7 linked regions of the Cricetulus griseus genome follow. The protein of the gene in region 1 interacts with the protein of each later gene in a pairwise test. Links are inferred from orthologs where the notes say so. Each region holds a gene or a part of one and is shown in the gene's direction. Other genes may lie near its edges. The genes, in order: Tfip11, Sh2d4a, Krt20, Ccdc68, Ccdc151, Imp3 and Ccnd3.

Region 1 (3,873 bases):
TGGTCCCCGTCCATCCTCTGAAGACTTTGATAACTGGTGTGTGTGTGTTTGCCTGTGTGCGCTCCCAAGTGTCCATGTCCCTTTCTCCTTTCTAAGACAGAATCTTGCCATGTGATCAGGCTGGTCTAGAACTCTTAGCCCAGGCTGGCCTCAAATGCTCAGTCCTCCCCAGACCTCCTGACACTGGGATCCTAGGGCATGACCGCTTCGTGGTCCAGTTCTTCTGTTTCTGCCCCTTCGTGGCACAACAGTGGTCAAGGCAAGCGCACAGTGCTCCCACCTGTCTGCAGCTCATGCCCAGTGAGTTCAGTAAAACTCGTGAGTACAGAACATGCCAGGCTCTACCTTCCACTCTGCACACTACAAAGTACCCCATCTCCCCATGCAGATCATTGTGGTGAGCACAGCTCCCAACCCTGGAGCCTCTGCTCAGCCTGCAGCTCCTTTTGGTTTGTTTTGGGTCCTCTGTAGATACCTTTGAGACCCAGGGGAGGGCTCCTGGGAGTGCACAAGCAGATAGGGAATGCTCTGACTGGCTGGGGGCCAAGACAAAGACCCCTCCTTTAAAGACTTCTGACTTGGGGTTCTGATGGCCCACAGGTGTCAGGCTTGTCATGGTTGTGGGTGAAGTGAGTCGTTTGGGACAGCTGGGGTGTGGAGAAAGGCCTCTCTTTCTATGGTGGACTCATGGTGTTACTGTCACTTTCCAAGTGGCTCGACAGCACTGGTGGCAGCTGCCTGTCATGGTTCAGTATGAGGTAGTGTGAGTGTGACAGCTCAAGTCTGTGGTAGGCAGCTCTGCCCACTAGCAAGGCTTTTGACACTTGGCCAGCGTCCTGTCTCCCCTGCTCAGTGGCGGCTAATAGGTGGCAACCTGCCGCTCTTTTCAAGGTGATCGACATGACAGGCCGGGAGCAGAAGGTGTACTACAGTTACAGCCAGATCAGCCACAAGCACAGTGTGCCGGATGAAGGGCTGCCTTTACTGGCACAGCTGCCTCCCACAGCCGGCAAGGAAGCCAAGGTGCCAGGCTTTGCACTGCCCGAGCTGGAGCACAACCTGCAGCTGCTCATTGAGCGCACGGAGCAGGAGATCATCCAGAGTGACCGTCAGCTGCAGTATGAACGGGACATGGTGGTCAGCCTGTCCCACGAGCTCGAGAAGACCGCCGAGGTCCTAGCACACGAGGAGCGTGTCATCTCCAACCTCAGCAAGGTGCTGGCCCTGGTAGAGGAGTGTGAGCGCCGCATGCAGCCTCATGGCACCGACCCCCTCACGCTGGATGAGTGTGCCCACATCTTTGAGACACTGCAGGACAAGTACTATGAGGAGTACCGCCTGGCAGACCGTGCAGACCTGGCTGTGGCCATCGTTTATCCGCTTGTGAAGGACTACTTCAAGGATTGGCACCCTCTTGAGGTGAGCTGGGTGCAGCCTTCAGCTTGGTTAGAGGCCTGGTTGCCGAGTTGGGAAGGCTGATGATGTCAGTGTTCTGCAGGATGGCAGCTATGGCACCCAGATCATCTCCAAGTGGAAGAGCCTCCTGGAGAACGACCAACTTCTGTCTCACAGCAGCCAGGACCTGTCCTCGGACGCCTTCCACAGGTGCCTGGCCCCACCCTGCTATATATCCTCTTGCCTCCCCGGGGAGCAGGAATTCTAAAGGTTGGATGACAGCAGTTTTGGCTGCTATTTGACTCTGCTCCACACTGACACTGCTGTGGTCATTGAAGGCATGCTTGCTCACATGTCTATTGTATGTCCTGAGGGTCCAGGAGCTGGGCCAACCCTGGGAGGACCATGAGCAACTTTCACCTACAGTCAGGAAGGGCAGAGAACCAAGAATGAGGTCTTTGTGGAGCGGGCAGAGGTGTTGGGGGGGGAGGGAGTGGCGGCGGCAGACATTCACCTGTTACCCTGAGTGTTAGGTGCTCTTGGTGGGAAAACACCTCAGGCTGTGTGCTGACACCATTGGCCCCACGTGGTCCTGTAGGAGCTCTGCCAGTGTGTGGCACCACTGAGGAGCCCAAGGCCCCGAGCTAAGACGTCATGGGAGCCCTTTGTGGAGACTGACCTGGAGTTTCCTGTGGAGGGCTGTGGAATGGCCCATTTTGAGGCCAACACTGTGGCTGACCAGCTGCCCTTGCCTCTCACAGGCTCATGTGGGAGGTCTGGATGCCTTTTGTCCGGAATGTTGTCGCCCAGTGGCAGCCCAGGAACTGTGACCCGATGGTGGACTTCCTGGACAGCTGGGCACACATCATCCCTGTGTGGATCCTGGACAATATCCTGGACCAGCTCATCTTCCCCAAGCTGCAGAAGGAGGTAGGGCAGAGCTCCGGCAGTGTCTCTGGTCACCCAAGCCACCAGACTCTTGGGGCTGAAGGGCTTTGTTAATGTCCTACAGTATTTATTCAGCCTTTTCCAAAGTATCCCCTTCCTGCCTCCCTCAAGAGGGAGTTCATTTCCTCAGTACCTTTAGTGAACCTTGAGCTATGCTGAGGTTGGAGTTGGTGGCACGGGTGCATTTGTTTTTTCTCTGTGGAGGGACCTAGAGTACAAACTGCCTGGGAGGCAGCTTAGCAGCTTCTGTGCCTGCCATTTGCCTCCATGGTGGATCTTACCCTCCACATCCACACTGAGGACTGTGGCCCGTGTTCAGGACACACATGCCTCTTTCCTAAGGACAGCACTAGTGTGTCATGAACTGTCCATGGACTACAATGCTCGTCCTTCTCCATTCACCCTGCAGGTGGACAACTGGAACCCCTTGACAGACACCGTTCCCATCCACTCGTGGATCCACCCATGGCTGCCCCTCATGCAGGCACGCCTGGAGCCGCTCTATTCCCCTGTCCGCAGCAAGCTGTCCAGCGCCCTGCAAAAGTGGCACCCCAGTGATGCTTCAGCTAAGCTCATCTTGCAGCCCTGGAAAGAGGTCCTTACCCCTGGATCCTGGGAGGCCTTCATGCTCAGGAACATCGTGCCCAAGCTGGGTAAGGAGACAGGGACAAGTGGGCCATGTGTGGTTTACTTAGTGTTCCACCACAAAAGCGTGCTGCTTATGGCAGAGGTGGAAGTGGAGTGGAACCAGGGCCTTCTGGTGGTCTGTTCACGACTGTGACCATGTTCTGCTCTCACTAAGGTCTGCAGTGGTGACTCTGGGCGCTCTCTGTGCCTTGTGGTTTTTTTTTTCCCTGACGGGGCTAGTTTGGGCCTCAGGTCCAGAAAGCCACTGGCCTCAAAATGCTTGTGATCCTGGGGTGGAAGGAAAGAGCAGACCACAAAATGAAGGGTCTGCTGGATAGCACTTTGTGCTTCCATAGCTTTGCCACTGCAGAAGCTGAGCCAGGGACCATCTCTCTTGCAGGCATGTGTCTGGGTGAACTCGTCATCAACCCCCACCAGCAGCATATGGACGCCTTCTATTGGGTGATGGACTGGGAAGGGATGATCTCTGTCTCAAGCCTGGTGGGGCTGCTGGAGAAGCATTTCTTCCCCAAGTGGCTTCAGGTGTGCTGTGTGGCCCAGGAGGGCAGGGTGGGGTGAGAGCCCAGGGGTCCTCAGTGCGCATTGCTGTCAAGGCATGGTATTGTCTCACCTCAGCTCCTCACCGAACCTGTCTGGGGATGTAGAGATTTAGGTCCAGCACATGTAGGCCACAGGCTGGCTCTAGATTCTAATAATTGCTAGATGCTGCAACTCCACGAGCCCTGTGATGTGGGCTGCTAGGAGGAGCAGCGCTGCAGACAGCAAGTAGCCCCTGGGGACACTGCTCCCGCTGCTGTGGTCCAGCCTCCTGTCCAGTGTGTGGCCACTGGCTCAGTGTCTGGTGTCCTTTGGCAGGTGCTATGCTCCTGGCTCAGTAACAGC
Region 2 (3,873 bases), on another chromosome or scaffold:
TAATATTTATTCCTCATCTTAGAGGGTTCAAGTCTATGGCTGTTTGGCTCCGTGAACATAGGCAGACCGTCTCGGTAACAGCAGCATGTGGGGGGAAGATCTAGTCTCGTGGTAGATAGGAAAGACAGGAAGAGAATAAGCAAACAGGCAGCATGAGACATAGCCCTCAAGGACACTCCTCCAGTTGCTTCCTCCAGCTGGGCTCTACCTCCCAAAGTTTTATAATCTCCCCAAGTGACTCCAGCATCCAGGAACAAAGCATTTGAGACATGAACTGGGGTATGTGGGTGGGGAGGAAGAGGCTATTTCATATCTCAGCTATGGTGAATGTTTATGGTAGACATGAATCAGCAACCTTTCTAAGAGGCACAGCAATAGAGCTGGGGTCTCTGGGAGAGATGCCTTGGGTTGCTTTCCTTTTGGGTGCCGTTTCCCATCTTGGTAGAGGGATCTATCAGCACTTTCCTAACTCCAGTGCTTGATACATGCTCTCATGCGGGGCTTTGTGGTATAGGACCGGGGTCTTCATCTTCCCCAACAGTGATGGGCAAAGAACAGGTAGGAGAAGTGTTGGTGGGTTGACCTTGGCTTGGGGGGAATTCAAATTCCTCCCCCTATTAAAGATCTATTTAGAGATTTTTTTCTTAACTTTGTGCTCTGGGTGACTTAATGAGCTAAAACTTCACTAGCAATTAGAAGGGCTATGAAAACCATTTGATTTTCACCAGGAAGTGTTCTGTTTGTTTCCTTAATAACCAGAACATGAACATCAGCGCAGAGTGAGAGTGGAGGAGGAGGAACCAGGAGCTCCTCTCTGCTGCAAAGCAGAGTGAACTTGAAAAGAACATTGCTCCTCCCTCCCAAATCAGAGCCCACGGGGTGACTCAGCAAGCTGTGCTGTTGATTATTTTCTGTATGTTTACTATGCTGTCTATTCATTTCAAGAATTACAATAGAACTAAGAAGGGAACTTTCGAACGTTGAGTCAAACTCTATGAACCAAGAAATGAGACTGGGAATTCAAGAGACATCTTAATTATACCTCTCATAAAGCCATATATATATATATATATATATATATTATATATATATATATATATATATATATATATGCACTCATGCTGGGCTTTGTGGTATAGGACCGGGTTTTATTCTTCCCCAACAGTGATGGGCAAAGAGCAGGCAGGAGAAGTGTTGGTGGGTTGACCTTGGCTTGGGACATAAGTAAGTTAAGCTCTAGCCTCTCAAAGACCAGTGGATACATACATTGAAGACTAGTTTTATTAGAATTCAGGAGACCTTGTACTGGTATCCAGCACTCAGTAGATCTATCTTCTGGTTCTGTCACTAACTTGCAGGGCTTCCTAGACCAGGCTGTTTCAACTTTAGCACCGTTGATGCTTTGTGCTGGATAATTTTTACAGTACTTGACTGTTTTGTGTATGTTCAGTAGCACCCCTTGCCTCTACCCCATGAATACAAGTACCACCCACACCCACAACAACTGCACCAGTTACTTCTTACATCACTGTGAACACATCGGACAGTAAGAACATAAGACAGAGAAGATTTATTTGATTCCATGGCAAAGAAACACTGGCAGTGGGAACAAGGGGAAGGTTCTTCACATCATTGCAGACCAGGAAACACTTCACATCATATTGGATCAGGAAGTGGAGAAAAGAGAATTCTAGCCCTCAACTAGCCTTCTTTCTCCTCTTTTCCATCTCATCTACTAGCCAATGGGATGATGTTACCCACATTCAAGGTGGGTCTCTCCCCTTCAGTTCATTCTCTGTGCAAACCACATTAATTTCACAACACATGTGATTTGTCTCCTTTGTGAGCTACTGTTTTAGAGCAAGTCATGTCACTTCCCAGACCTGAGTCCTCACTGACCGACAGTGGTGGCCCTATAAGAGCATCTGAAGTTCATTCGGATCTGACCAATTACCCTCAAGATAATATACCAGATTGTCATAAGTGGTAGACAGCTTGTGTCAATGCAAATGGGTCTCTAAGTGAAACTATTTGTAAATACAGTTCTTTTACTATGTGTCCTAGTTTGCTTCTCTGTTGCTATGATTAAAACACTGACCAAAAGCAACTTGGGGAAGAAAGGGCTTATTCCAGCTTGGAACTCCCAAATTTCAACACATCAAGGGAAGGCAAGCAGGAACTTATGGCAGGAATCTGGAAGCAGAAACTGAAGCAGGAGCCAAGGAGCAATGCTGCTTACTGGCTTGCTCAGTTTGGTTCTGTATACAACTCAGGACTACCTGCCAGGGGTGGCACCACCCAAAGAGGCCTGGACCCTCCTGCATCAATCATTACTCAAGAAAATGTCCCCACAGACCAGCTTGATGGCAGATATTCTTCAACTGAGAGGTCCTTCTTCCAATGTGACCCTATCTTGTGTCAAGCTGACAAACTCTCTGTTTTGCGTTTGTCTAGTTATCAAATACCAAGGGGATTGTTTGTTTGTTTGTTTGTTTTACTGATTCCCAAGGACCGCAAAATACACATGGAACAGCTCTGCCTGTCACCAAACTCTATTCATACAGTGAGGGGCAACACAGGAATGGCTTACAGGTACTTTGCTAAAATGACTTTTCTTTCCCCCTTCCCACAGGGATTCTCACACTAAAGAAAGCAAATGACCTTCTGAGCACAGGTGTGCCAGGAAGTTTTCTGATCCGAGTCAGTGAAAAGATCAAGGGCTATGCCCTGTCCTACCTGTCTGAGGAGGGCTGCAAACATTTCCTCATAGACGCATCTGCCGACTCTTACAGCTTCCTGGGTGTGGACCAGCTGCAGCATGCCACCCTGGCAGATTTGGTGGAATATCACAAGGTGAAGCCACTCATATGCTTAATTTGTCTTGGGAATTATTGTCCTATAGATATATAACAAAGAGGGGCATGGCTAGGGATATTGCTCAAAAGCAAGCAATGGGAGGGGCAGCATATAATTCCCCCTGTCCTTTATCACATCCTCCTGACACACTCAGAGATATCCCACTGGATCTGAGAATACTGGAGATGCACATACTGGTCACATGTGTGAATGGTCCCATGCTAGAACTTGGACTCTAGCAGGAAAGGGAAGCTGCCAGAAGGAAATTGCTATTAAGGTTGTCAAAAGCCAACATATGTTTGCACAAGCCTAGAGTAAAGGGGTGATATCCTGAGGAGGTAGAAGGGCATCTACCACACAGCTGCTACATGACCCTGTGCTTTGATTGACAGGAAGAGCCCATAACCTCCCTGGGGAAGGAACTCCTGCTGTACCCCTGTGGTCAACAAGACAAGCTACCAGACTACCTGGAGCTCTTTGAGTAACAGCTCTAGTCAAGATCAGCCTTCAGCCAGGTTTTCCTCTGGACAGACACCTCGGAGGTGGACAGTTGCCTGTGATGCCAAAATCACTCTGTGACAGAGCCAACAGTGAAGAATGCCTTTGAGGTTAATTGAAACCTTGATTCTGCATAAAAGCTGGAGTTCAAGTCAAGGGGATACATCCTCTCCCCATCCTCATTCTGAAAGGAAAAGGGAGAAGTGTACTCATTTCAGTAACATCCTAATATGAAGAATAGGACCTTGAAGGATATGACCATCATGTTGTATATAAGATAAAATAACAAGGCTAACTTGAAATGTATTTTTAGCAGTTAATATGTTACTCTAAAAAAAAAGTGAACTGTTTTGTGATCTACGTGCTCCCTCTTTTGTATTCAGTCAAAGGTCTCAGCGCCTACTTCCATGAACTTCTATCTTGGCTTTAGAATGCTGGAAAAAGCATCCTCTCTTGGGGCTGAGAGTATCCTCAAAAGACAACCATTTTTGTATGTATTGGAGCCAGGATTCAGGAGAC
Region 3 (4,636 bases), on another chromosome or scaffold:
AATCAATAGATCGAGTGGCCAAGGTTCATAACAATTTCCCTCTTTTATCAGTAGCCTCTGGGAAGTTAGGTGTGAGTCCCTGTGGCCACCTGCAACCTTCCTTCTCAGGGAACCACTGAATGTAGGAATCCACAAAGAGGAACAAGCTTCTGCTGTTGGAATCCATCAGGAATCCTGGAGGCAGCTCTGACAGGGTCAGGATGGTAGAAGCAGAGAGCATCTCAAGGTGGTATCTAGTTGGCCTCAAACAGGAGGCAGGTATAAAAACTGGTTTCTTGGTGATTTAAATTTTTAAAAACATTTTTTCAACCATTAGACACACGTATTTAAAAGATATTTGCAAGGTTTCCATAATAGAGTTTGTTTTTGTTTTTTGGTTTTGTTTTTTGGTTTTTTGTTGTTTGTTTTGTTTTGTTTTTTTGAGACAGGTTTCTCTGTGGCTTTGGAGGCTGTCCTGGAACAAGCTCTTGTAGACCAGGCTGGTCTTGAACTCACAGAGATCCACCTGCCTCTGCCTCCCGAGTGCTGGGATTAAAGGTGTGAGCCACCAACGCCCGGCTGAGTTTGTTTTTGTTTTAAGAAAGGAAAAAGAATACACTGAGGGGCTCTCAAGGCTCCTGCCCTAGTCTAGGAGTTCCTGGAAGCTGAGAGTTGCTGGAAGTCAAGAAGAGAGTTGGATTTTCTTTGGAGGTGTGGCCACCTCCCACACCCCAGTACACCCATAAGTACACAGGCAGCACTAATTAGATTCATGAGTTATTTTTAAAAAGAGGGGAGAGCATAAGTTGGATGGGAAATGTGTTGGGGGCTTCTGGGGCAGTTGGAGAGCGAAGTCAGGGTAGATGTTATCAAGATACATTATATACATATATGAAATTTCCTAAAACTACTATTGAAAGTATTTTCAACTCCAAAATCAACACCTATACTCATTTACTTATTCACCACATTCAGTTCTCAAACTCCGTGTGTGTGTGTGTGTGTGTGTGTGTGTGTGTGTGTGTGTGTGTGTGTGTGTGTGTGTACTCACGTGCCCATGTAGCAGGCTGGTGTCAAACTTGCAGTAATCCTCCTGTCTCTGCTTCCCAATTGCTAGAATTACAGGTGTGCACCAGGACACCCAGCCTCATACAAGATATTTCAACAGACTAAAAATATAAGTTCTAAACAAGGATAAACTCAAAAGCAAATTTAAAAAAAAAAAGAGCATAAAACAGAGGTTCTGAAAAGCAGCTCGTCATTGGAACAAGCCTTTGTCTGTTCTCACCAGTATGACTTACCATTGTGTTCCCACAGCTGTCTTGTTCAAAGCCTGAATTATTCATATAGATTGTAAATATTCTTTATTTGTACACGGGGATGAAAAAAAAACCTGCCAGGGCAGGTGCAAGATCTGAAAGAACACCCCTTCCTCATTCTTTTTGATACTTGTGTTCATTAAAAAGAAATCACCACTCCCTCCTCCCCCCGCCCAGCGCGCGCGCGCACACACACACACACACACACACACACACACACACACACACTAGAAAAGCCTTAATAAAGTGTCTCTAGTGGTCATTTCTGGAATAGGATGAAACATATTGCTGTACAAAAGAGGGGGAGGTAGCAAAGTGGACTGTGTCATTCCTGAGGTGACAAGGCAGCAGAGGAGGAGTGTCTCTCCTGAACTCTATAAAAGGTCAGCTCTCCAGCACCAGAGACAGACAGGCTGTGCTCCAACTCCAGGCTACAGGTGCTGCCTCCCAGGATCCCAGATGGATTTCAGTCGTCGAAGTTTTCACAGAAGTCTGAGTTCCTCCTCACAAGGCCCAGCACTTAGCATGAGTAGCTCCATGTACAGGAAGGGGAGCGCCCAGCGCCTGGTGGCTGCACCCAGTGTCTATGGTGGGGCTGGAGGCCACGGCACTCGCATCTCTGTCTCCAAATCTGTAGTGAGCTATGCGAGTGATCTCTCCAGTGGAGGGGACCTGTTTGCTGGCAATGAGAAACTAACAATGCAGAACCTCAATGACCGCTTGGCAAGCTACCTAGAAAAAGTGCGGTCCCTGGAGCAATCCAACTCCAGACTTGAAGTCCAGATCAAGCAGTGGTATGAAACCAATGCGCCTAGCACCATCCGGGACTACAGTCCCTACTATGCACAAATCAAAGAGCTGCAAAATCAGGTAAGTCATGGACCTGTGTTTTCGACATTACTGTTTAGTAGTATACTAGATTAAGGGGGGGGGGGTTGTGAGTGTATGCTAGGCGAATTCAAACACGTGAAGCAAATTAGGTTGAACTTTATAGCTGAAAAATCTATTTTATCATGTGGCATTAGTGTAAACAGGATGCGTTTAACCCACCTAATTACATATAAAATGTGATGATCTTATCATCCAAAATTACAGCCTGTGTCTTTGTCGTGGCTTCCAATGTCAGGTCTTCATGGAGAATAATCTTATTTTTAAAAGAACTCCAAGGGTTTCTATGTGAGTTTCCCACTAGTCTTCACCAACTTTGAAGACTCAGATCAATTTAAAGAGATTTTTCTCTTTTCATCCATATAAATGTTACAATTCAAGTGTCATCCTGCTATGGGTATAAATATTACAAGGGTTCAGAGTGCAGACAGACTACAGATATTATAGTGTCTGTATTGACTGACAGATGGGTAGATGATGGGTGGTAGGGTGGATGGAAGGAACAGCTTTTGAATACAAGATCTCCCTGTATATCCCAGGCTAGTCTGCACCTCACCGCTCTCCTGCCTCTACCTCCTCAGCACTGGGATTAGCCACCATGCTCAGTTTCGCTAAGTGGATTTTTTAATGTCCTGTTTAAGTTTCTGCTGACCATCATCAAGCATTTTATAAAGCACTTCAGCAATAATAAAATGTTCTATTGCCCCCAATTCAAATTTATTACAATCATATCACAATCTGTTCCTGTGTCATCCAAGATAGGTGGGGTTCTCTCTCTCTCTCTCTCTCTCTCTCTTTATAAACCCAGTGGACTAGAAGTGGGAGACTTTGCTCCGGGCTGACAAGGTCAAGCACAGCACACCATTTGCTTTGCTTCAGCATTCTTATCTAATCAAGGAAAGTGTCCCTTTCTGGTTTGCGTATATTTAAAATGATTACCCCTTTAGAGCAAAGGCCATTGACTTGGCCCGAAGGCCTCTTTGCTGGAGCTGTATTATAGGTACCAGTGCAGCCTGATTCAGATTCACAGAAACAATCAGCTCAGGAAGCTAAGGTGGTTACATCACCCTCAACAGGGAGTTCCTTCAGGCTTTCGCTGAAACACATTCAAAATGATTGTTCTCCAGCACTGCTCTCAAGGTTGATGCTTCTGAATTGACTCGGGGATTACCCATGATACCTCAGAGCAGCCATTAGTACCTTCTAGCTGGAAGCCTCTCAAGGGACCTCTCTCCAGGAATAGCTACTGAAAGAGATGTGTCATTTTCATGTCTTCTAGAAGTAGACTTCCCGTCTACATGCATCTTAAAGAATACAGTGCTTGTCTTTCAAGTACAAGAACCTGAGTTCGATCCCCAGAACCCAGGTTAAAAAAAAAATTGGAGAATGATGGTGTGTTCTTGTAATCCCAAGATCCCTGGGGTTTGCTGGTCAGCCAGCCTGACCTACTTGATGAGTTCCAGGACAATGAGAGACCCTGCCCCTCCCCCAAAAAATGTGGACAGTACCTAAGGAATAGCATGGAAGATTGTCCTCTGACCTACACATGTATATACCTGTACATATGAACACAGAGAGAGAGAGAGAGAGAGAGAGAGAGAGAGAGAGAGAGAGAAAACCAGGGTGTGTCCATCCTTCCATCCTAATGCCTAATGCCTACCAGATGGCAAGTTGTCATTCACTCACTGTTTCATAGACACTAGCTGGGTACTGAGCATCACACATAGAAGAATGTGTGGGTAAATAAAGTGTAAGGTGGAGACAGGCCTGGACCAAAGCAACTGTCACTCAGGTAAACGCAGGAAGGCTGTACAGAGCCACAGAAGCAGGGACACGGCCCTGCTAGAACTGGGGGATATCATTGAAGGCCCCCTTGAAGCCACGGTGTCTGAGCTGAGAGCTGAAGGCATAGGAGCTCCCCAGGTGAGGAGGGCTAACGGCAATATTCCAGGCATGAACATCACCACAGACAAGACACTCAATAAGGTTCAGGGATATGGATGAAGTCCAACTTCTGTTTTGTACAAAAACAAGAAAGTGGGTCAGACCAAGAGTCCTGTTTTTAACTATTACCTCAATACCTGTGTCACTATTGCACCTAATTACTCTCACACTTTTGAAACGGACATCGCTTTTGATGTAATTACAGTTGTCTCTGAGGACAAATGAGATCTTTTTTATCTCCAGCCCTGATGAAAATGTCATTCTTTCTCTCTCTTATGCTTTCCAGATTAAGGATGCTCAAATTCAAAATGCTCGGTGCGTCCTGCAAATTGACAATGCTAAACTGGCTGCAGAGGACTTCAGATTGAAGTAGGTTCCCTACATCACAGTGACTATAGGTGTGTGTGTGTGCAAGTGTGCGTGCGTGTGTGTGTGTGTGTGTGTGCGTATGTGTGTGTGCGTGTGTGCGTGCGTGCGTGCGTGCGTGCGTGCGTGCGTGCGTGCGT
Region 4 (4,457 bases), on another chromosome or scaffold:
ACAGATGCCTGGGAAGTCCAGAAGATCGTGTCAGATTCCCTGAAACTGACGTTGTAGGTGGTTGTGAGCTGCTAATGTAAGATTTGCTGGAAACCAAATCTATATCCTCCTCAGAGCAGCAGGAGGGAGCTCTTATAACATTGAGCCCCAGACTCAATCTGTAGAAGACTTAGTTACAAGGATTCCTGAGTATTGAAGCCTCCAGTCTGTAATGTTCTGCATTAAACTTTTTAACCTGGTGTTCTTAGCTGAGGTTGAGGATTCTTTTAGATCCATTCCTTCATAAGCAGTTACAAATGCTGCATTTTCTAAGTCTATCAATTCCTTTGAGTTTATTAGCTGATATACCATAAAACCTTTCTATTATTAACTACTTAGTTACTGAAAAATACAGTTAATGTATTAATGATGTGACATGTGCTTGCTATGTCTTTTTCTTTCTTCTGTCTTTGTCCCATGTCCATCCAGTTGTTGGCTCAGCAGCTTTTGGGGGGGTGGGAGGGAAGATAAATGAAGACCATGGCAATAGTTAGGTTTCACCTGTTATAAGTTCAAGGATTTAGGATTTTTGATATTATTCAGTTCATCACAATCATTTATGATGGTTTCTATATTTTATTCAAACAGTATTTGATCACCTGACATGCTTAGTTTTATGAGCTTTGTGTCCTCAACCTGAATCACTCAAGAAGCTCTAGCTTCTCCATAGGAGGATATGGTATCTAGACTACATACAACCTGTCCACCAGGAACATGACTGTGTATAGTGATCAGAATCCCAATCACTGTGTCTGTTCACTACTCCTTCCCTCTTGTGTGGTTGTGTTCATGTTCTCATTTGTGTGTGTTTGTATGTGTGTATATGTTCCTGTGTGTGTACATGTATGTATGTATGTGTGTGTGTTCCTGTATGTGTGTGTGTGTGTGTGTGTGTGTGTGTGTGTGTGTGTGTGTATGTCTGTAGTCAGAATTTCACTCTGGAACCCAGGCTGGTCTGAAACTTACTTTGTCAAAGCTGTGAGTTGATATTTCTCTTCATTCATATTAGCCACCTTTTTTTTGAAAAAAAAATAAGAAAATGGAATATTATATATTCATTCTGTCCATGTTGTTTTTTAATTGAATCATACATTGTAAATGATATCCCACAGTGGCAATCTACTTACCAATATTACTCAACTGCATTTGGATTTCTTCCAAATTTTCTTTCCATTAGAGGATATTTTGATAAACAGCGTTTATCAAGGTTCTATAGGATCCACACACACAGTTTGATTATGACTGTATTTCTAGTTCCATGGACATTTATTGAGCACTTACAGTATGGTATAGCATAAAGTGAATAAAACAGGGCCCTGCTCAAGAGATTTTGCAGACTAAGATGATACTAATCATTTGATACTAAAGCTTTGATTGTGGCAAAACTCCTTTATGTTGTGTTGCTGAGCTGATGATTTATGTTTTCCAAAGGCCAGAACTCACAATGACAACTGTAACAGTGACTACAGAAGTCTCTCCAAGAGGTAAGACAGAAGGTGACTCTGTCTTGTATGGATCTTCGTCAGCTCACATTATTGAAGAAACCGAGTATGTGAAAAAGGTATGAGGGCATCAGACATCATATCATGGTATTTTTATGATGAGCACCAGTATGGATCAGTGGGCTTTGTGTCCTCATCCATGCAATGCCTAGAAAGGGGTGAACTTCACTTGGCTTAGGACAGCTGACAGCTTCTATTTAAACATGGCTAGTCATTTCTTCTTTACAATATAAACCTGTGTCTACATGGGAAGCAAAATGATTTTCTCCACTCAGTGGAACTGAGTAATGGCCAGGACGGTTCAGTACACCTATCAGCATTTAATTCACACCCCACCACTCGCTGCTGGATTTCCTGCTGTTTTATGACCTCCCCTGGTGGTTTCCTGAATGTGGATGCTGTGCTCCCAAGTGGATGTTTATGTTTCCCGCTGATTCTAGCTCCCTCTCTTCACCTGGTTCCTAAGTGCTAGCTAGTGCCAGTGACATCTCTGCAAGTGATGTCATTAATAATGTAACTTATGAGAAATCCACCAGGAAAAGAGCTAAGAAAGGATACTCACATAAACTGTTATAATGGATAGAAAAATTCTGACACTGAGAGTTTATAAACTTGTTCAGATCAGCTAATTAAATTACCTTGAGCTGTCTAATAATTCAACAGGTTAGCAAGATTGGAACTCAAACTTCATGCATAAATTTGTATGATCCTTTCTTAGGGTTTTTCTGTAGTAATTTTATAGTAATTACTATGTAGTAATCATTTTGTAGTAATTACTATGTAGTAATTATTTTGTAGTGATTACTAAGTAGTAATTGTCTTTTAGTATTACTAAACACTAAATTAGTACTAAATTATAGATAAAAGTGAACAAAATGCACAGTTTTTAAGTACTAATTACTAAATTATTTTGTAGTATATATAATTTAATTTGGTTTGTCATATTTTAGGTTTATCTGAAAAAGAGATATAAAACAAAACACTTATTTTCATCAACCTAAATGATATTAACTTAAATATAATTTTGGTTGGAGGCTAATCTTTAAATGTGACATCAGGATATATATGTAAATAAAGTGCTCTGTAGCTGGTATACAGAAAGAAAAATGCATCTGGAATTAAATGTCTTATAAAAATTAATAAATATTTTCTTACAGATTCGAACTACCCTGGAAAAGGTCCGAAACCACATGTTTAAAGATGAAGAAGAACATGGCAATGAAAATTACCTACTAGATGCAGAGGTAATACATGCACCAAGATTCATTCCTTGCCTTCTTTCAGAAAATTAACATGAAGCCATATAGATTTCTTATTCAATCAACGTTTCTGCCCACTGTTACTCATTGAAGCTGAGCGATAAAATATTTCATGAATGTCTAACATCTAAAGATATATCTATGACATGTTTACTAGGGATGTCATTAGAAGAATCAGATCAGAATGGAACATTGAAAACAGAACATAATTATAAAGTAGATGGGAAGACACCAGACCAAGGGGAACACACAGTAGCAATACCTTTCAGAGACAAAGTTTGCAAGTGTGCTAGGTGGGACACAGCAACTGATGGGTTTGAATTGAGTGATGGGTTTGCTGATCAATATGCTTAATCACCTTTCCCTAATTTCAGTAGCATCTTCATGTACTTAAAGTCTCTTTTAGCTCAAATTGTACCAAATTAAGTACCAATAGAGCCAAGAGCACCTATCCCATTAGCGTTACTGACTATAAACCATGGTCACACATCATACGAGAAGGTAGTATGTGCTACATAAATACAGTCTCCTTATGTCACCCTCAACTTCCCATATAACATGACTAGTGCTAGAGATTTTCTTAATTGCTCCAAAGTTGGGGAAAAAAGAGATTATATTGAGGTGTGGCAGAGAAGAATATATTAAAAATCATTTTTGGCCTTGTGGAGTTTACTTCTAGAATTCCATTGGTGGTTAGACATGATCCTAGATTTGAGAGTACAGATCTGGATTAGACGGACTCAGTTACATTTGACAGGCTATTGTGTTGGTAAAGTCCTGAAACTAGAGCTGGGTTTGGCACTTGAGCAGGAGGACAAGAGACCTGCTTGATTGAAACAGCAAAACTGTATCTCCAGAATAAATAATAAAATGCAATACTTTTGAAAGTGGAGAGGATTGGAAAGCAATACATAGAGAATACATAGAGATGACAGATGATCTAAAGGCATAGTGATGAATTTCCCAAAGCTTGGGTCTTTGGAACAAGAACCATCATGGAGGTTGAAATGGATAGGAGAGAATTAGGAGGAAAAGCCATAGAGTGTAGAATCCCTGAGGGCAGGTAGAAAGAGTAACTGTCCAGTGTTGTCCATGGGCCATGTAAACTGAGAACTGGCCAATGGAGACTGGAAACATTGAAATGGATTTTTTGCTGACTGTCCCGCGCCCGCTCTGTATTCCTCGCCAGCAAGAAATACACGCAGGACACTCGGATCCTTCTGCAGACAAGCTTTAATGCATTAGACTGAACAGAGACTGAGCAGAGACTTAGCAGAGACTGAGCAGAGACTTAGCAGAGACTGAGCAGAGACTTAGCAGAGACTGAGCAGAGACTTAGCAGAGACTGAGCAGAGACTTAGCAGAGACTGAGCAGAGACTGAGCAGAGACTTAGCAGAGACATTAAACCAAGAAAACCATTCCTATATAAAGGCTGACCAGCCGCCTGGGACGTATTACCCTATGAATGGCTTCAGCTCCTCAGGCAAAAATGAGCCACGGGATAGGCAGAGATCAAAGGAATGGAGATTACCCAGCGCCTGTGAAGTAATTCACACCTTGGTGTCTTCAGGCAGCATTATAATGCAGGAACCGGCTTCCTACATATCACCCTTTTTTTATTAATTAATGAAAAGGCTTTATATTATTACAAGCAAA
Region 5 (3,873 bases), about 43 Mb from region 1:
AGCTAGATAAGTATAAAGTTAAATTACAGGTATAGAGACAAGCAGGACTGGATAACAGTAAAGGGGGAACCAGAATGTAATCTCTGATCCGTACATTGTAGCAAACAGACAGGAGATTTAAAGGGACAGAGTAGACTTAAACAGAGGGCCCTGGAAAGGCACAGTATTTAGTAAACAAGCCATGAATAACAGAGCCAGTGAAAGAAGAAATCATAGACAAAAAATAAAATAAAAAGAAAAAGACAAAAATAAAATAAAAAGAAAAAGATCTGGCTGACAGACAGGTTTGCTGGCAAAGGACACTGGAGCTGGGCGTGCCTACAGGTAGGTCACATGACCAAAATGGCGGCAACCGTAAGCCGCTTTTGTCTGTTTACCTGCTTGTTGGATGAAACCAGAAAGGTTCCTCTATGCATTTCCCATGGGTGAGGCAGGTAGAAAACCAGCAATAAGCTCTTCTACGGATGCACGTCTGCCCGTGGGAGTTGCCAGGGGCCTGGCCCCGAAGGGGACACAGCTGTCCCGAAATCGAAAAAGGACCCAGCAGTCCGAACTGAAAAAAGTAAAAAAGCACCGCTCCTGGAGCGGGATCCCATGCCTGACCTTTAGGAAATGCACCCAACAAGTGAAAGAAATAAAAAGTAAGATGTCAGGTGGCAGTGCTTGCTGGTGGAAGTCACTGAACTGAGCCGGCAGGTCATCCCAGGACTAGGGGACTGAGAGAGGAGAGTCCCCAGAGCTCTCAACAGCTAGTCAGTGATCCAATCAGCTCAGGCTAAGTGAGAGACCATGCCTAAATCAAAAAGCTGGAAACCAAAAGACAAAGATCCCAGACATTGACCTCTGACCTCCATGTACATAGGGGTACCTGCTCTCTCTGTCTCTCTGTGTCTCTGTCTCTATCTCTGTCTCTCTGTCTCTCTCTCATGTGCTTACACACACACACACACACATACACACACACACACACACACACACACACACACACACACACACACCAAGCCAAAGCCCTGGTTGATCTCTCCAGGGCCTCATTAAATATGGTACAGTTGTACACCAATATGATCCCAACACTCAGGAGGTGGAGACAGAAAGATCAGGAATTCAAGTTTATCTCTGGATGGACACACAATTTGAAGCCAGTCTAGACTACATAAAACCATGGCTTTAAAAAAAAAAAAAAGGTGAAAGAGAGCTGGGTCTATAGCTCAGAGCCATGGCCATCCTGTTGCACACACACACACACACACACACACACACACAGAGAGAGAGAGAGAGAGGAGAGAGAGAGAGAGAGAGAGAGAGAGAGAAAATGGATGCCAAGGGTCCTGGAAACCAGCTAGGAGACCAGAGAGACAAAGGCTTCTAGGAGAACCAGGACTCAAGTCCTTGGGGAGGGTAAGCTGAGGTTTTGCTCTCTGCTCCCCTGCAGCAGGCCCTGGAGCACCTGGAACACCAGCTGAGGGATAAGGTGAACCAGTTGAATGCCTTGCGATATCAGGTAACGCTGCGGCAGAAGCGGCTGCAGGAACTGAAGCTACAGCACAGCATGCACCAACTGGAGTTGGCAGAGGTGCAAGACGGCAACACAGAGGCGGCCAAGGTGGGGCTTGCTGAGGGCTGAAGGGGTCCTGGGGCAGGCATGGATGGTGGTGAAAGGAACCTGGCCCAGCCTGCTGTTCCCCTAGACCATGCGCAACCTGGAGAACCGGCTGGAGAAGGCCCGGATGAAGGCAGAGGAAGCAGAGCACATTACCAATGTGTACCTGCAGCTCAAGTCTTACCTCCAGGTAGGGACATTTTGGAGAGAGAGGTAGGTGAGGAGGGCAGACCTGGCCAGGGACAGCAGTCACAAGCTTTCCCTCTCTCCATGTGTCAGGACGAGAGTCTCAACTTGGAGAACCGACTGGACTCCATGGAGGCTGAGGTGGTGAAGACCAAACATGAGGTAGTAGAGCTGAAAGTGGTGAATCAAGAGGCCCTGAATGCCCGGGACATTGCCAAGGTACTAGTAGTCTTCCTGCCCCAGGGTGGAGTAGGGTGGCAGTCCTTCACAGCTACCATTGTTATCTGTGTTAACACAAGCCTTTAATACCAGTGCTCAGAGGTAGAAGCAGATCTCTGAGTTTCAGCCCAGTCTGGTCTACATAGAAAGTTCCAGGCCAGCCAAGGCTACAAAGTTAAACAAAAACAAAAACCATCAACCTTTCCACCAGAGCCCAACTTGGAGAACAAAGAGTTTATTGGGCTTCCGTGTGCCCCAGCCCGAGGGGCTCTAGTAATTCGTGGGTCCGAAGTGGATCAAGCCTGAAAATAATGGGCGGAAAAGAAAAGCGAGACCAAGCGATTTTTGTCTTGTCAAGGTCTTAGTTTATTGAAACCAAGGGGCCTTTTAAAGAAAAAGGGGGAAGCAGAGAAAAAGGAGGTGGGGGGAGGAATGAATGTTAATTGCTCTCAGGCAGGTATCCGGAATCTCCTGTGTTTATCTCAGGCACTAACTAAGAAAGTGGGGGAAGGGATAGGTGTTAGTTGCTTCTCAGGCCAGGTCTTGGAATCTGAGGGGTGGGATGCTAGACTAGCTGGCGACTAGCTAGGCATGGGGGGTCGCCAAGGCTGGCTTCTGACATCCTTGCAGAGCATGGGTGAGGGTTACTGATGGGAAAGCCCATCCCTAGAGTTCTACTCATCAGTCTTCTCACGCATCCATGTTAACCGGGGAAGGGCCTTGTGAAGCTTGTTTCTTGAGCCTTGTGAAGTTTCGTGGACTTCCTGAGTCTTGAATCTCCCTCTCTCTATGAGGGAGTGTTTCAATTTAGAGAAAATAGCATCTGGAACACCAAAGGCTCAGGGAATTATAGTCAGAAGTCAGTTGTCTTTAAGTCTCCAGCAATGGTACTGTTGCTGTGTTGCCTGGGGTCCGCTGTTCCATTCCTATCCTGGATAGATACCAGATGCCCCCTGCCTGCCTGCCTGCCTTCTAGAGCCAGTTGCAATATCTGGAGGAGACTGCAATCCGAGACCGAAAGAAGCGTGAATTCTACATAACTGACTGCAAGAAACGGGCAGAAGAGAAGAAACTTCAGACAGAGCGCATGGAGCGCAAGGTGCGCAAACTAAAGTGCAGGGCTTCAGTAGCCCAAACCAGACAGGCCTCAGCCTCTGCCTAACCCCACACTAAAGGTGCAGGGCTTCAGCAGCCCAAACCAGACAGGCCTCAGCCTCTGCCTTGCCTCCACACTGACCCAGAGCCCTGCCTACACCTCACACATGGCCTCACCCTGCCCCCTCCCAACCCTGTCTCCACTCACTGCACTTGGTTCCTCACAGGCTCTCCTCTGCCTCCTTTCCTGCTTGAGGCCATGGCCTCCAGGCTTGCCCTGACTGTCTGATCCTCTACCCAACCTTCTCCATTTAATTCAGACCCTGGTGTTCTAACTGACTGGGGCTCTAGCCCAACTCTTTCCGGAGGCCACTCCTTCTAGAACTCTGCCTCCGTACCTTGGTTCTGAGACCACCTCTGTGACTCCCACAGGGATGATGGTACCTAGTCACAAAACTTTGTCCGGTTCCCCACAATCCAAGCTAAGACGGCTCCTCTCCTGGCATCCAGCCCAAACCCTTATCCAGAGTTGACTTTGATGGTGGCTTTGACTGTCCTCTACCCTTAAGCAGACTCACAGAGAGCATGTACTGCTTCAGTCAGAAGATACAGTCCATGACCACCAACGCCACAAAGAGGAGGAGCTGAAGCGTCGCTGGGGCATGTACCAGATGGAAATGATGTTTGACAAGGTCAAGGATGCCACTGGAGTGGCTGAATCACATGTGAGTGCCTTGGGCCTGCACTGGAGTGGGGCAGGCTCCTCTTCCCTT
Region 6 (3,269 bases), about 76 Mb from region 1:
CAGACCCTGAGGATGATAAAAAGGAAAAGGGGCAGTGTCTCTCTGGCTACAAAACACAGGAAACTGTTCGATCAGTGGAACTTATTTCCATTGGTCACCTAGAAAGACATCAAATGGAGTCCATCCATTGACTGTTTAGTTGGTAGCAGGTAGCAAGTTCAGGGATTTGGAGGGAGAGGAGAGGAGGGGAAGGGAGAAGATGAGAGAAGAGAGACCAGGGAAGGGGCTGTCACAACCCCAATGAAACTCCTTTCAGGTTTCAGTACTGGAGGTGTTAAATCTGAGCAGATGTGGAAACAAGAGCAGGACTCTTTGACCTCAACAGAAGCAGACTGTCCTTTGATAAAGAGACCGAGGGAAAACCACCTCACCTCAGAAATGGTGACTGTGTGCCACAGTATCAGAGGAGCTTGAGGTTTGGTGGGGTTTGAAGGAGGGAAGGGCCTATCAGGGTGGGGGTTCAGTAGACATTTTCTGACCTCAGTTCTGCTTCTGTGATTTCAGACAGGAACTGTGCTGGAAGATATTCTTGAGCTTGGGTGGGCGGGGGTTCTGGGCAAGAGTTTGCCAGACAAGATATTTTCAGCTCTTTCAGACGATGGGTTGAATTGTACTTAATGAGTTCCTCATATTGGGTGCATATTGTGAACCACTGAGGACTGCCGAAACATACTCTCCAGACTGACCTGAGTAACATAGAATTGTCTCTAGAATAAGAGCTGGGAGTAGAGAAACAAGCCTTTAATTCCAGCATTCGAGAGGTAGAGGTAGGTGGAGCTCTGGGTTCGAGGACAGCCAGCCTGGTCTACATAGAGTACCAGGACAGCCAGGTCCACATAGAGAGACCCTGTCTCAATAAAATAAAAAATAAATAAAATAATAAAAAAGACGACCGTGCCGGGCGTCGGTCTTTATCCCAGCACTCGGAAGGCAGAGGTAGGCGGATCTCTGTGAGTTCGAGGCCAGCCTGGTCTCCAGAGCGAGTGCCAGGATAGGCTCCAAAGCTACACAGAGAAACCCTGTCTCGAAAAACAAACAAACAAACAAAATAAAAAAGACGACCGTAGTGGCTCATGGTCGTAAACTCAGCATTTTGGGAGACAGGCGGGTTGGATTACGGCGAATTCGTGGCTACCTAGGGAAGACACGATGTCTCAAAAAAGTAAAAGCCAGATGTCAGGGTGTTTCCCACTCTGATTACGTGAGTCTAGTAATCGGCCAGGAAACCGGCATGCCATAGGTTTAGTGCTGCTCAGTACTGCTTGGCAAGGAGAATCCCTTTCCCCAGTCCAGTGACAGACCTGTTGCTGACCGGGGTGGGACTATTCGCCAGCTCTAGAAACCACTGGAGCGAAGAAATTCGCACGGTTCTAACTACATCTTTTAGCCGTTACTCCTCTCTCCCGAAACTGACGTCTCCAGCTCTTGAGGGGAACTCTCTTCAGGGTCACCAAAGACAAGAAATCTAACAAAATTTCTGAAGCACTAGGCTATACGACTTCCCCCCAGGCGGTTAAGACGCTCACGCTGTCTTCGCAGGACACGCCCTTCCGACCTCCCGCTGGCCTCTCCAAACAGGAAGCTCTTAAGTCTGACCAATGAAATACGGGGGCGTGGTCGTAGCTTTCTTTCTATTGGCCCAGGGGTCTGGGCGGCGGGGTCTTCCGGCGCGGAGGCGGAAGTTGTGCTGCTTTCTCAGCGTGCTCTCCGCTTTCTCTGGCAGTCTCCATCATGGTGCGGAAGCTTAAGTTCCACGAGCAGAAGCTGCTGAAGCAGGTGGACTTCCTAAACTGGGAGGTCACCGACCACAACCTTCACGAGCTGCGCGTGCTGCGGCGGTACGGGCTCCAGCGGCGGGAGGAGTACACGCGCTATAACCAGCTGAGCCGAGCGGTGCGGGAACTGGCGCGGCGCCTGCGCGACCTGCCGGAACGCGACCCCTTCCGTGTGCGCGCCTCGGCGGCGCTGTTGGACAAGCTGTACGCGCTCGGCCTGGTACCCACGCGCGGCTCACTAGAGCTCTGCGACTCGGTCTCAGCCTCCTCCTTCTGCCGCCGCCGCCTGCCTACTTTGCTCCTCAAGCTACGCATGGCTCAGCACCTTCAGGCTGCCGTGGCCTTTGTGGAGCAGGGTCACGTCCGCGTGGGCCCAGACGTGGTCACCGATCCCGCCTTTCTCGTCACTCGCAGCATGGAGGACTTTGTCACTTGGGTGGACTCGTCCAAGATCAAGCGGCACGTGCTGGAGTACAACGAGGAGCGCGATGACTTTGATCTGGATGCCTAGCGAGCCTTCTCCCCGAGGCTTCACAACTACAGGTCACTGAGCCCGGCATGGGGAGAATAGCCCCTGAGTTCTGGGACTTTTTATTAGAATTTGGACTGATAATTAAATGACTGTCTTTTTTTTTTTTTTTTTTGCGAGTCAGTGGGAAGCAGTTTTGTACTGCACTGGCGATTGTTAGGTCGTCACTTTGTGGTGTAGAAGCAAGGACGTTACCCCCTTTCTCCTTGGCTTTATCATCTTGAGCTAGGATTGACTGCTACAGATTTGGGTTCAGGTGTTTTTGTTGTTTTGTTTTTATATATGAAACGGGGCTACGGGAATGTTAAGTGTTCACTCCCTCCTTTAAAGAAACCTTTTCCTTATGCCAATAAATGTCCCGACCACCTTGTTAAGTGCAAATTTTTGTCTGATGATACCCTTGCCGAGGTTTCTAACCCTAAGAAAGAATCGGAATAGGATTGTAGGCGTGAGGTCTGCCGCAGGAGCCTCACGTGGAGGCTGCAGGATGTTGTATAAGCTGGGCAGATTTATCACTTTACCAGTCCTTTTCTCGGAATGAATGTTTTGGCAGAGCTTTTATCCACAAGACTTCCTGTTGATACTCCAGCCCCAGGAAATACCAAATTAAAGGCCCGGAGTCTTTGCTTGCCTAAGGAAATGATCACTCTGTAGCTTGGCCAGCTCGTGGTTAGAAGTGACCCAGGAGGTTCCTGAAAACAGCTGTTCTTAGGAGTGGAAAAATGTGTGTTTAGTCTTATGTGCAAGGTCATGGGTTCATTGTTAAGAACCCCTACTCCAAAAACCAGGCAAAAAACAACAGCAAAAAAATAAAGTGATAGAATTTGTCAAGAGAACATCAATTTTTAGCACAGACAAATTAGAATACAGAACCCAGCATATTACATATTGGGTTTTTTGAGAGGTGTTATTTTTAATTCTATATATATATATTTTTCCTACTTTTCGAGACAGGGTTTCTCTGT
Region 7 (4,300 bases), on another chromosome or scaffold:
GTTTTCTCAACCTTTGAAGTTCTAGTATTATTTCCATAAGCAGCCACTATATTATTATTATTTGGTTTGGTTGTTTTTGTTACTGAGATAGGATCTTATATAGCCCTGGCTGGCACTGAACTCATTAGGTAGCCAAAAATAACCTGGGACTTTATTTATTTATTTATTTATTTATTTTTAGTTTTTCCAGACAGGGTTTCTCTGTGTAGCTCTGGCTCTCTTGGAACTCATAGACCAGGCTGGCCTCAAACTCAGAGATCTGCCTGCTTCTGTCTCCTGAGTGCTGGGATTAAAGTTGTTTTCCATCACTGATTTGTGACCTTGAATTTTTGATCCTCCTGTTTCCACCTCCCAAGTGCTGGTCTTACAGGTGTAGGACAACATTCCAGGTTCTACAGTGCTGGTTATTGAACCCTGAGCTTTGAGCATGCTAAACAGGCACTCTACCAACTGGATATATATCCTCAGCTTCTCTCTCTCTCTCTCTCTCTCTCTCTCTCTCTCTCTCTCTCTCTCTCTCTCTCTTTTCTCTCCCTCTCTGTCTGTCTGTCTCTCTCTTGCCCCCCCCCCCTCCCCTGCCCCATGGGTTGGGGAACTCATTCTGTAGACCAGGCTGGCCTGGAACTCAGAGATCTGCCTGCCTCTGTCTCTTTAGTGCTGGGATTAAAGGCGTGCACCATCACCGTGGGGCTTTTAATATGCTGATTTCGACAAACACCACCTATACTTAAGTTGTTCCACGAATCTGGAAACAGTGCAGTGTCCCGTTCAGCGGACCCTGAGAAACTGCATTTGTTCATTTGCTTTTTCATTTTTATAATTTGTGTGTGTGCGTGCGCGTGCATACCGGGTGGTGTGTGGTGTGGTGGTATGTTACAGCGTTAGTGTGGAAGTCAGAGGACACCTTATGGGAGTTGATTCTTTTCTTCCACCGTGTGGGTCACAGGGATCACACTCAGGTTGTCAGCCTTGGTGACATGACCCTTTCTTTACCTTCCTGCTCAGCTGCCAGATGGTGCTGCAGCAAGTCTGTGGAATTCATTTAAGTAGACAAAATTCTGGAGCCGGGTTTCCCTGGACTGACAGTGAGGTCTCTTCAACTACCACTGTGCTTCAGTTTGGTGGTCTGCAAAATAAAGACCTGGAATGCACCTTGAGGTAGGAGCGACCCAGATATGCAGCTATTAACATTCCCTGGAGCAGTGAAGTAGGGTGCAAACGTGAATGAATGGATAACTTTGGGCGAGTAATTCTTTCCTGGGTGGCTAGAGTCAAGACGGCCCATTGATGGGGAAGAGGGCACCCTCCCAGAAAGTTCTCTCCACCGTCTTGGTCAGGAGGGCCCCGAGGGCCCGGAAGCCTGCAGAAGCCGGCGCCCCGCGGACCAATGGGCTGCGGGGAAGGAGGGGATTACGCCCGCCAGCCCTTTCCGTCTGCGGCCCCGCCCCCTTGGAACGTTGTGACGTCGGAGCATTCCACGGTTGCTACATCGTCGCGAGGGGCGGGGCGCCTGTCAGGGAAGCGGTGCGCGCGGGTGGCGGGCGGGCTGGGGCTTCTCCGTACAGTGCCAGCGCCAGCGCCAGACCCGCCCGCACCCCGCGCTCTCCCTCGTGCGCGTCGCGTCTCCAAGGACTCGCCAGCCCGCACTCCTGCTCTCGCCCGTGAGCCGCCTCAGGATGGAGCTGCTGTGTTGCGAGGGCACCCGGCACGCGCCCCGGGCCGGGCCCGACCCGAGGCTGCTGGGGGACCAGCGTGTCCTGCAGAGCTTGCTCCGCCTGGAGGAGCGCTACGTGCCGCGAGCCTCCTACTTCCAGTGCGTGCAAAAGGAGATCAAGCCGCACATGCGGAAGATGCTGGCGTACTGGATGCTGGAGGTAAGGCCCGGACCGGTCCCCTCTCCTCACCCTACCCCCACCTCCGGCTCTGGGCAAATCCAAGTTGCCCTGTCGGGGCATCATGAATCGGACCACAGTCTTCAAGATGCTTTGGCGGCCCCGACTTGAGGGGCCTGGCCTTTTCACACAGGCATCCACCCTAGCCAGCTGCCTGCGTTCTGTCCCCTTCCTTTCCCCAATCCCGATCGGCTTCTTCTGAGACTGCCAGTCACTTGGCACTGTAACTAAACTTCACTTCAGGTCGGGAAAGCGGGCTAAGGGCCACTATTTCCCCTCTGGCTTCTCTCGGTGTCTCCTGCTTCCTTCCTCGCCTGTAGTTCTCCGAGAGCGTGCTTGGAAAAGTCTGGGGCTCGACCGACCGCCTTAGCCCTAGAACTGGTTCCTGTGTCTGTCGCGGGGTTCTGGCGGGGGAAGCTGGTGGGGGTGGCGCGCGCTCGGTTCCGGTCCACAGGGAAATGAAAAGTGCGGGAGACCGCGGCAGGAGTTCCCTCCCTTCCCCTTGGGAGTGTGTGTGCAGTGGGTGGTGGTAATGAGGGTAAGGTCCCAATTCTCTCTAGGCGACCCTTCCGTCCCCCTTCCGCTCGCCGTGGGGGAGGGGAGTCTGGAATCCCTCGTGAGCAAGGGCTTCTCTCCTTTACACCCCCACCACTCAGGGGTGGGGAGGAGGCCAGGCAAAGGAAGTGGGGGGGTCACCTTGGGGAGGGCGCATCCTCCTCGGTTATTGATTCTTGTCACTGTAAGTTTATCCCGTCTCTGTTTATTTTTTGCTCCACATTCCACTCTCCCTCCACCCCCCATGCTGCTGCGTTTCACTTGGTCCTTCCCTAGCAATGACTCGTGCGCCATCCCTCAGGTGTGTGAGGAGCAGCGCTGCGAGGAGGATGTCTTCCCTCTGGCCATGAACTACCTGGATCGCTACCTGTCTTGCGTCCCCACCCGAAAGGCGCAATTGCAGCTCCTCGGTACTGTTTGCCTGTTGCTGGCCTCTAAGCTGCGCGAAACCACGCCCCTGACTATTGAGAAGCTTTGCATCTATACGGACCAAGCTGTGGCTCCTTGGCAGTTGCGGGTGCGTGTGGAATCCCCCTCTGTGGCGCCCCCCCCCCCGCTCTCAAATACTGTCGCCCTATGTACTAGAAAAGAGAACTCCAAGCTCAGTCCCTCACTCACCAACCCTCCCCTCGCCCTAGGCCAGTATTTTGGAAAAGAACTGGGGTGGGACAAAGGCCATGTAGTGTGGTAGTTGTGCTTTAGTTGCAGGCTTAAAACCAAATGAACCCCCTTCCTCTGACCATAGTGGGGTTACCCCAGATAGCAACCAGTCCAGTTGCTGGTCTATACACCAGTACTTTGCCTCTGGGTTTACACAGCCACCATGAGTTATTTATTGGCAGCAGCAGGGCATGTCTGCACACCCCCACCGGAGTGGAATGTGCTTCACGTGGGGGAGGGGGCTGCCTTGCATGAGTCTTTATCCCCGTGTGGACTTTGTGATGGAAAAGCCTCCCAGAGCTGATTAAAGCCAGGCCCTGATTGCTGGAAGGAAGTGCTGAGGTGTTTTCATCCCTTTCCCTTCTATTCCCAAAGACAGAGCCCCTTCCCTACCCACCCTTCCTTGTCTTCTGAAAAAACGAGAGCAGCTGCCCTGGGCCGGTGGAAGGGTTTCTCCCTTTGCCTCTTAGCCAAAGGCCGAAGAGACAGGGAGCCGAGCTGCAGCTGCTTCGATGTGATAATGATGCTGGTCCCCTTGCCCTCCCACTCAGACCAAGGGCTTTCATAACCCTGTGGGGAGCTGCTGTCACTCCTGTGGTTTGGGAAGTGGCTCCTTGGGGTCTCTTGCTGGGAACATGGGCTGGGCTCCTCCAGGCGGGGCAAAAATCGGTTGGGTTTTGCCCTGCCCCGAGGAGTCTAGGGAGGAGGTGGAGGAACTGCTTGAATCTGGAATAGAGCTTGAACATCATCTCCCACAGGGTCTGGGGGAGAGGGTGGGTGAGCTGGCACCTCCCTCCACCTTATTCTGTGGCTAGCCAAGCCTTCCCTGACCCTGAAAGGAGTCTCTGGGCCCCATCTCCTAGGGAGGAGGGCAGCAGGCAGGCTAATGTGATTGGCTGGCTGGGAAGCTAGGGTACTGGGGCCCCTGACTGCCTTGAGTCGGGGAACTGGATTCCTCTCCCTGTCAAGCAGCTGATGGGAGGCCTGAGTTGGGAATCAGGGAGGCCCCACAGCTCTTTGTGATGAATCTGGTAGTTTCCACAGCCAGGGAGCAAGATGTTTTCGAGGGATTGAGGCAGGGAGGTAGGAGACTTCCTCTTTGTGCAGAGATTAGGGTGGTCTACATTAGTGTGTGTGTGAGGGGAGGTTTTCAGAATAGGCAAGCCTTCTCCTAGAGGCCTGCGCTGAGTGGC

The links.
Region 2: the proteins of Tfip11 (region 1) and Sh2d4a interact in binary tests that used the Homo sapiens proteins (3 or more experiments, as listed by UniProt). The two-hybrid records come from large-scale screens. The link is inferred for Cricetulus griseus from reciprocal best matches to the Homo sapiens genes TFIP11 and SH2D4A.
Region 3: the proteins of Tfip11 (region 1) and Krt20 interact in binary tests that used the Homo sapiens proteins (3 or more experiments, as listed by UniProt). The two-hybrid records come from large-scale screens. The link is inferred for Cricetulus griseus from reciprocal best matches to the Homo sapiens genes TFIP11 and KRT20.
Region 4: the proteins of Tfip11 (region 1) and Ccdc68 interact in binary tests that used the Homo sapiens proteins (3 or more experiments, as listed by UniProt). The two-hybrid records come from large-scale screens. The link is inferred for Cricetulus griseus from reciprocal best matches to the Homo sapiens genes TFIP11 and CCDC68.
Region 5: the proteins of Tfip11 (region 1) and Ccdc151 interact in binary tests that used the Homo sapiens proteins (3 or more experiments, as listed by UniProt). The two-hybrid records come from large-scale screens. The link is inferred for Cricetulus griseus from reciprocal best matches to the Homo sapiens genes TFIP11 and ODAD3.
Region 6: the proteins of Tfip11 (region 1) and Imp3 interact in binary tests that used the Homo sapiens proteins (3 or more experiments, as listed by UniProt). The two-hybrid records come from large-scale screens. The link is inferred for Cricetulus griseus from reciprocal best matches to the Homo sapiens genes TFIP11 and IMP3.
Region 7: the proteins of Tfip11 (region 1) and Ccnd3 interact in binary tests that used the Homo sapiens proteins (3 or more experiments, as listed by UniProt). The two-hybrid records come from large-scale screens. The link is inferred for Cricetulus griseus from reciprocal best matches to the Homo sapiens genes TFIP11 and CCND3.

Annotation. Positions count from the first base shown.
Region 1 is NC_048597.1:92,007,629-92,011,501, forward strand, and holds part of Tfip11 (tuftelin-interacting protein 11), read left to right. Parts: intron 1-891; coding exon 892-1,419; intron 1,420-1,498; coding exon 1,499-1,605; intron 1,606-2,156; coding exon 2,157-2,325; intron 2,326-2,752; coding exon 2,753-2,996; intron 2,997-3,370; coding exon 3,371-3,513; intron 3,514-3,846; coding exon 3,847-3,873. UniProt on the Homo sapiens protein: Involved in pre-mRNA splicing, specifically in spliceosome disassembly during late-stage splicing events. Intron turnover seems to proceed through reactions in two lariat-intron associated complexes termed Intron Large (IL) and Intron Small (IS).
Region 2 is NW_023276806.1:245,098,580-245,102,452, forward strand, and holds part of Sh2d4a (SH2 domain-containing protein 4A), read left to right. Parts: intron 1-2,632; coding exon 2,633-2,853; intron 2,854-3,248; coding exon 3,249-3,341; 3' UTR 3,342-3,873. UniProt on the Homo sapiens protein: Inhibits estrogen-induced cell proliferation by competing with PLCG for binding to ESR1, blocking the effect of estrogen on PLCG and repressing estrogen-induced proliferation. May play a role in T-cell development and function.
Region 3 is NC_048600.1:113,147,267-113,151,902, forward strand, and holds the start of Krt20 (keratin, type I cytoskeletal 20), read left to right. Parts: upstream 1-1,757; coding exon 1,758-2,168; intron 2,169-4,416; coding exon 4,417-4,499; intron 4,500-4,636. UniProt on the Homo sapiens protein: Plays a significant role in maintaining keratin filament organization in intestinal epithelia. When phosphorylated, plays a role in the secretion of mucin in the small intestine.
Region 4 is NC_048595.1:169,537,948-169,542,404, reverse strand, and holds the start of Ccdc68 (coiled-coil domain-containing protein 68), read left to right. Parts: upstream 1-1,483; coding exon 1,484-1,600; intron 1,601-2,698; coding exon 2,699-2,785; intron 2,786-4,457. UniProt on the Homo sapiens protein: Centriolar protein required for centriole subdistal appendage assembly and microtubule anchoring in interphase cells. Together with CCDC120, cooperate with subdistal appendage components ODF2, NIN and CEP170 for hierarchical subdistal appendage assembly.
Region 5 is NC_048597.1:134,887,012-134,890,884, reverse strand, and holds part of Ccdc151 (coiled-coil domain-containing protein 151), read left to right. Parts: intron 1-1,432; coding exon 1,433-1,603; intron 1,604-1,688; coding exon 1,689-1,790; intron 1,791-1,879; coding exon 1,880-2,005; intron 2,006-2,981; coding exon 2,982-3,104; intron 3,105-3,672; coding exon 3,673-3,825; intron 3,826-3,873. UniProt on the Homo sapiens protein: Component of the outer dynein arm-docking complex (ODA-DC) that mediates outer dynein arms (ODA) binding onto the doublet microtubule. Involved in mediating assembly of both ODAs and their axonemal docking complex onto ciliary microtubules.
Region 6 is NC_048597.1:168,459,443-168,462,711, forward strand, and holds Imp3 (U3 small nucleolar ribonucleoprotein protein IMP3), read left to right. Parts: upstream 1-1,679; 5' UTR 1,680-1,731; coding exon 1,732-2,286; 3' UTR 2,287-2,685; downstream 2,686-3,269. UniProt on the Homo sapiens protein: Component of the 60-80S U3 small nucleolar ribonucleoprotein (U3 snoRNP). Required for the early cleavages during pre-18S ribosomal RNA processing. Part of the small subunit (SSU) processome, first precursor of the small eukaryotic ribosomal subunit.
Region 7 is NW_023276806.1:256,940,743-256,945,042, forward strand, and holds the start of Ccnd3 (G1/S-specific cyclin-D3), read left to right. Parts: upstream 1-1,488; 5' UTR 1,489-1,676; coding exon 1,677-1,874; intron 1,875-2,748; coding exon 2,749-2,964; intron 2,965-4,300. UniProt on the Homo sapiens protein: Regulatory component of the cyclin D3-CDK4 (DC) complex that phosphorylates and inhibits members of the retinoblastoma (RB) protein family including RB1 and regulates the cell-cycle during G(1)/S transition.